Linked DNA regions of Danio rerio. The protein of the gene in region 1 purifies or fractionates together with the protein of each later gene. This does not show direct contact. Links are inferred from orthologs where the notes say so. Each region holds a gene or a part of one and is shown on either strand. Other genes may lie near its edges.

Region 1 (3,408 bases):
CGAAGATTTTTCAGGACCACACTCGAAACCAAGAGGTAGGAAAAAATTTCCAGAATACACTAGCTCCAACTGCACCCGGAAATAAGGAGATCTTTTTTTGTTATTATTATGAATTTTTACAACAAACAAACACATGTTTTAATATATTCATAACTGCGTTCGTGTTTTACAGTCATGCTTTTTTTTTTTTTTTTTTAAAACGCTTAAATAAAAAACGTTAAATTTTGCGATCTATAATCCCTAATAATAACTTCTGCACAGCAGTCCCACAACAGTCTGACACTCAATGACACTCAATGACACTCAATGACACTCAATGACACTGGAATACCCTGTCAGAAAAGTCCAGTGACTGGGAATGTACTTTTTACAGTGTCTGCTATAATGTTAATGTTGTTTTTGATGTGTTTACATTAATGAATATGGCCACGGTGTAAATGCACAGTACTGTTACGATCTTATTGCCACATTAGATCATTATGATAACATAATACATGGCTTCAGTGATTTCCTGAAGATAAATACCAAAAAAAAAAAAAAACACAACGGGAATCACTACAGTAGTCGCCATCATCTGAACTCATATGAAGCAAGAGATTGCGAGGACATATGATGACGTGTGCAGGTGATGTAGTGCTGTCCCAATTCTTAGGGGTAAATTTTAAAGCCCTTCCCCTTAACCCTCGGTTGCAAGGACTAAGGGGAAGGGGTAGGGGTACAAAAACAGAATTGGGGTTTGGCCTTACACTTGTGAAATAGAGAAAGGAATTCATCCATGAACTGTGTACTGTAAAGTTCCTGTCAAGCTTTTACAAGGTCCCAGTTCTTTCTACAGTGTTTGTGTGCAGGGCCGAGGGTTTCAGTTTTCCAGGTCTGCATGCAACAAATGGGCGGGGCTTGAGTTCCATATCGACGTCATGCCGACACAGCTAAAGATTCGTTACCCTCGCGATTTATTTGAACCACTCTGAGTTGACTCTTTTATAGAGGAATCAATAGTTTTAAACACGGTGTACTTTCAGGTTTAAGCCTTAGCTGGATATTTCACTTCACTTAACACACACTTCACTTTACACACTGCATGGAAGGTCATTTTTAAAAACTCATTATAGGGGCTCTTTAATCTCATAACATTGTAGTAAGTTTCTTGGGATGTATTTTTATAACTTATGATAATAAATAGCATCTAAATTAAAACAAAGATATTTTTTGCTTTATAGTGGGGCTGCCATCAGGCAACATTTTATCCTTACCAAAGATGTTTTTGGACCCCAGGAGACCAGAGGTGGTCTCAGAACAGAGTCGGTAAGTTTTCAGCTAATGTTTATCATGTTGGAAATCTGAAAAATGTCAAGCATATATTTAGTTTAATTATTTACAAATTGATTCTCTGACCATTTTAGGGAGGAAAATCTTATACCATATGCTCCAGAAATGCCCATTCGTACAGAATGGTTCATTAACTACAACCAAACCGTATCAAGAGTAAGAGGCATCTATACTGCCCCATCTGGCCTGGAGTCAACCTGTTTGGTAGGAGTCACGGACTTCAATTGATCTCTTAACATCCATGCAGTTGTTATCACATGTAGTCACACTAAATAACTTCAATTTCACCTTCTAGGTGGTTGCATACGGCCTTGACATCTACCAGACTAGAGTGTTCCCTTCCAAACAATTTGATGTCCTTAAGGATGACTATGACTATGTCTTAATCAGCAGTGTCCTCCTCGGTCTCTTCTTTGCCACCATGATCAGCAAACGTCTAGCGGAAGTGAAACTGCTCAATAGGGCATGGCGATAAGACTCATCCTGATGGCCTGTTGACTTCACTCTCGCCTTCACTGCAATGTGGTCGACACATTGATGGCAGAAGACCAGCTGGTGACCATGTCAAAACCGCAAGATCATTTGACGAGTTTGGTATCTTTTTGCAACCAGCTGTCTTGGGGATCTTGTGGTGTTTTGAGTGTAAGTGCAAAGATGGCCATGATCGTTTTTTTTTCCCCTTTTCAGAGAGACATAATGATGTAGGTTTAGTTTTTACCCCCCTCAGCATTGAACAATTCACTGTCTAATTTGTTTATTTATTGTGCCTTTCGGGGTAACATTACTAATGTGATTTAAAGGTAGACTGACCAGGTATAACATAATAGCATTGTCGCATTTGATTCACTAAGTCTAGAGTCTGCCTTTCAAAAAGGTTGAAGGATAAATTCATGTATTAAAACTGAGGAGGAAATGCTGCAAAGGAACTGCCATTGTTATTTCAATTTATGAAAAGGTTGATTGATTGATTGATTGATTGATTGATTGATTGATTGATTGATTGATTGATTGATTGATTGATTTTGGGGTTTTAAGTTTAATTATTCAAGTTACTATGTATGAGCTGACCCTAATGAATATATTGGCTCATCTCATGTACAGGATTTGAATGGACAAACATTAATGCACATGAGAAATGTAAAATTTCAAGCTGTCAAAGGTTCTGCGTTTGAAGGAGTTTGGGTAGTTTTATTTGTACTTATTTTATGGTATGTCAAATGCACTGGATGGTTTGGAGCCATTTTCTTACTTGATATTTATGAGCAAGATCCCAATATGCCATATCATACATTTATTTTGACTCATACACGTTACAAATCCCTGTGATTTTATTATTGTGTAAAATGTTTCTACTCATTTGATTTTCATAAATAATGAGCCTGTTTATATACATACTTTTGAAAGTGTCCCCTCTGCTGCAGATTAATGATGTCAGAAGAATAAGTTTATTAATATTTGTAACAAAAGGGTAGGCATTCAGTTAAGTTGGTAACCTGATGATTTTTTAAAACATGCATAAATTATTTGTTCTTTTATCCCTAATCGATAATAAAGAATACACCCTTATTGTTGACCCCTGAATTGTTTAATTCTTTCTGGATGGTAAAGTTATAATCAGTAATCAATAGTAATCAGCAAAACATTTAGTTATAATTGACAACTATGTATGAACTAGAAAAAGTATGTACGAACTACTGCATGTAGCCTATAATCGATCTGATTTTGGACTATTTAAAAGAGACTGTCACCTAAAAATGTCAACTTGGTCATCTTATGTTGTTACAAACCTTTATGACTTCTATGTCATCTGTAAAACAGAACAATGTTGACAACCAATCATTTGCAACTATACCAACTTTTTAATTATTTAAAAGGGCAGTCAAAATGTAAGTTCTCCCTTTGTTTACCCCGATGTTGTCATTGTCCTAAACCTTCATGAGTTAGTTAATGTATGGAGCATACACACAAAGTTTGTTTTTTGAACAGCAGTTTTAATTTGTTGATTCCCAATATGTAGAATTAAAAAAAAAAGTATAATACACACTCTTTGGACAATTTTAAATATGAATATGATACAAT
Region 2 (4,063 bases), on another chromosome or scaffold:
GTTCTACATTTAGAAAAGATTTTCTTTATTATAGTAGTCGTTTTTTTAATCGGTGTAAAGAATAACTGGTTGTTTACAAAAGCATTTTCATATTGGTAAAGGCTTCTGCAACTTTTGTGAAGCCTAATCACTGGCATATTAACTGTCAAAACATGTTTATTAATGCATTAAATTTATCATAGCTTTTTTTTTTTTTAAAAAAGTCACATATAGTGCATTTCTATTATACACAATTTGTACTAAAGCGATCTAAAAAGTTCATATCAATAGGTTTTCTCTGTGCACCACCAGGTGGCAGTCTTTGTACTTTCATTTCGAGAGTGCAGATTGCATACGTTTTATTAATATATATAACTTTATTTATGTTATTAATAACTATAACTTTATATTTATATATATATATATATATATATATATTTATATATATATATATATATATATTTATATATATATATATATATATATATATATATATATATATATATATATATATATATATATATATATATATATATATATATATATAGTTAAAAAATATGTACCCTTTTTTCAAGTGTATATAACTACTACTGTAAGAAAATATCAGAATTCGGTACATACTTTCTGTATTTTCTTTGCTTGAACTGAGCCGATCTAATCCTGTTTATATGAACTGAACCTGCTTCCGATCAGGTTTGAGCTAGCAGAACTGTTGCTATGACAACAACTCTCGGATCAGCTTTGAAGAACGAAACGATCCTGGATCGTGTCAAATCGTCAATAACCAAATCCAGCTAACTGAGTAATCCACGTATGAAGAACGGACCCCAGACCTTTCCGGAAAAGTACCGTCAATTTTCCTGGAAAGGTGTGTGTGTGTGTGTGAACAGGCTCTTTTTGAAAATGCCGGTAAATTCGTTCTGGCTATTTTCCGGAAAGAGAAGTTGTAACATTACCGGTAATTTGCCGGAATGCTGCGCTGTGTGAATGCAGAAGGAAGATTGCTGGAAAGAGCGCGTGCACTTCTAGAACGTGCTGACGTGAGACGTCTGCTTTAGCCAATCAAAACAGTCAGACGCATTCACGTCCGCGCGGTTTATGAGAATAAAAGCCTTTGAATATTTTTACAGACACATTTAGCTGCTAATAATTATGAGCTCTCTAATGAATGTGCTGAAACAAGAGTGAAAGGTCTCGACAAAATCTGAACACAAGTGGTTAGCAGATAGACACTTAAACGCATGTTAAAACCGGATGTAAAAGGGTAACGTGTCAGGGTTGACTATTTAAGATTAATTACTGAACACTCATTCAAATACCAGAAGGCCATAAACTTCCCTCGCCAACTTTTGGAAAGTTTCATAACATCAGTGCAGATTCACTCTATGAAAAAAAAAAAAAAGTAGATGACGGTCAGTGTGTCTGCTCACCCTCTGTCTCCATGTCTTGTCCTTTGGGCGCCTCGCCGATGTCAATGGTGAACATCACAATCTTGGGGGTCATGGTGGACATCTCATTGCTGAAGCAGAACTTGTAGGTTCCGTCCATGTGAGCGGCTACAGAATACTTCCCACTGGACTCACGGTCTCCTTTATAGATCTGCTTCCCGTCTGGACCCGTTATCTGTTAAAGATATGCAGCGCATAATGATGAGGTAAAGTTGGTTTTATATTCGCACGATCATTCAGTGATAACTCCCTATATTGTTTATCATGCTACTTTGAATATTCCGACTGAAATTATATGCAGGTATGACTTTAAATCAACATTAGAACTATTTCATTGACTGAACAATGTTGTTCTTTATTGGTTATAGGCTGCTAATATGATTTACCCATTTAGAATTGGCAATGAATACTTTACTGAAATTATATTGAGGAGAAAGTCTGAATGTGTGAATATAACACCACTTCACCACAATCCAGTATATCAGGTAAAACTCACCGTTAACAGGTACATGTCAGAAATATTGTTTTGATTAAAATAAATTGAAAAACTCACAATAAAAACATACATTAAAACGTTATATTCTAACGTTCTGCCTTAAGAAATAAAGGGACTAGTAAATGACGTATGCTTTGTGAAAGCAGGTGTCACCTTTGACACTTTAGACCAAGATACAAACACAAAACATGGGAAACACCCGGTATCATTCATATACGTGTAATATTATATACTATATACACATAATTTCATATATTATCAGTACACAGAACCACACACAAATCAAATGTACAAGAAGAATCTTAACACCAGACTATTTCCTATGTTTAACTAAAACCTGCGGGATGCAAAATAGCATACTTTGACCTACATTCGTCTAAATAATATGTAGACGAATGTATAATTGAGTACTTAAAGAATTAATAATCACTCCCAGACAGGAATTCACTTCCGGCTTTATCCACCATCTGCTAAGCAGACAGCGACACCTGCAAACATCCTACAGTGGCTGCTTATAAACAATCGTTTTATTAAATGATATGGAATGATACAGAGAGTGTATTTTAATGGCCACCTTGACGTCGATGTCCAGAAATCCTCCCTCGGCGACCTCAAACATCAGGCTCATCTTCGTGCCCGAGTTCACGCGCTCATAGAAACACTCCTCCGCGTGCGCGTCGATGCTCACAAAATAGCCGCTCGCCGTGTAGGACAACGCGCAAAGGAGAACGATGAGTTCCGAGAACGTAAACATGTTTGGTGCGGTGAATTAATGGAGAGTTAAACCCATAAAAGAGAGTTTACACCGCGCTGGGCCGATAAAGGCGGAGACTGACAAGCGCTAGCTGCGCTACTGGTGATGCCACGTCAAGATTTAGACGATCCGCCGGATGGGACATAAAGGCGACGACGCCGGACGCAGTTCGCGTTTGTAAAAAAAAAAGATGAGGTGTTGAAACGTCAAAGTGCTGCTGTTAAACTGGTTATTGCACAGCAAACACACAAACAAACACATGAATTAAAAAAATGTATAAATTAAGAAAGAAAACGTAGAAAATGTGCACAAATGTGCACGATTAGAGCTTGCTTAATTTCATATTTAGGAAAAAAATTATTACCTTAAATCAGAACTTCAACAGGAACACTATAAGTTATTGTCTTGCATGTATATTACATTTATTAATACACAACGTCTGCTTTTATAAAGAAAAATATATTGACTGTACATATCCGTGTTATATTTTATTATCCGTATATAAACATCTGTAGTCGGTTGCAACGTCTAAAATACAACAAAGTTGATAAAATTTTACTATCGTGATTAATCTTTTATTATATTAAAAATATTTTGTTAATTGTTGTCATTTGTTGTTCCTGTTGTCCCCCTCTGGAGGGCGCGTCAGCGCGGAGCGTCGCTCTCTGTGTGTCGCAGCTTTGGTGACGTTTTTCCAATCGACTCCAGAAAACTCTCCGCCGCTGCGGCCTAGCGCTCCCGGTTGCCGTTTCCTGTCATTTTTTCACTCATGTTCGTCTGTCCGAACCCAAACCGAGCGGTACCCGCTGCCGTATGAGCCGCTGAACACGGCACTGTCGATTTAAACGGAGTTTATACCCGGAAAGTGAGTAAAACTACAGTAAACGGAGCGAGGGAGCGATGACATCCCGAAGGTGAGAAACAAGCAAAAACAAACCAAACATTCTTCCTGTTACTTATTATTTAGCATTTCTTGTCTCTGCAGAGTGTCTTAGTTTTATGATAAACCAAGAAATTGTTTGTTAAGATAGTTTTAGACTGTCAGAAGTGCGAAAGCAACGTGTTTCATTTAAATAGCAGACAGTTTAATGATTTAAACCCATCAGGGCGAGACTGGACATGTTTGAGTCTGGAAGAGTCAGAATAATTGTGCATTAACTCTCTTTAGGGCACTGTAAGCCTTTTTTAATGTTCATATTTCATATCCGTTGATCGTGATTGACAGGTCGTGTTTTAAATTTGGGACAAGACATGACACTGTGTTTTGAGAATGTGACATGACAGCTCTGCCAACATTTGTCTTCGGTTTAGCGAATGTATCTGCCTACATTAACGTTGGTTTATTGTCATTTGCATTATAAACAGATCAAATTAATAGACGCATGC

Evidence for each region. Proteins that work in one complex are often made in the same cells at the same time.
Region 2: the proteins of emc1 (region 1) and tmed2 purify together in Homo sapiens (affinity purification with mass spectrometry; 3 studies listed by BioGRID and IntAct, with this or other methods). This does not show direct contact. The link is inferred for Danio rerio from reciprocal best matches to the Homo sapiens genes EMC1 and TMED2.

What each region holds. Positions count from the first base shown.
Region 1 is NC_133198.1:24,184,905-24,188,312, forward strand, and holds the end of emc1 (ER membrane protein complex subunit 1), read left to right. Parts: intron 1-1,220; coding exon 1,221-1,305; intron 1,306-1,403; coding exon 1,404-1,533; intron 1,534-1,624; coding exon 1,625-1,804; 3' UTR 1,805-2,902; downstream 2,903-3,408. UniProt on the Homo sapiens protein: Part of the endoplasmic reticulum membrane protein complex (EMC) that enables the energy-independent insertion into endoplasmic reticulum membranes of newly synthesized membrane proteins.
Region 2 is NC_133185.1:3,902,829-3,906,891, forward strand, and holds the start of tmed2 (transmembrane emp24 domain-containing protein 2 precursor), read right to left. Parts: upstream 2,801-4,063; 5' UTR 2,678-2,800; coding exon 2,498-2,677; intron 1,603-2,497; coding exon 1,410-1,602; intron 1-1,409. UniProt on the Homo sapiens protein: Involved in vesicular protein trafficking. Mainly functions in the early secretory pathway but also in post-Golgi membranes.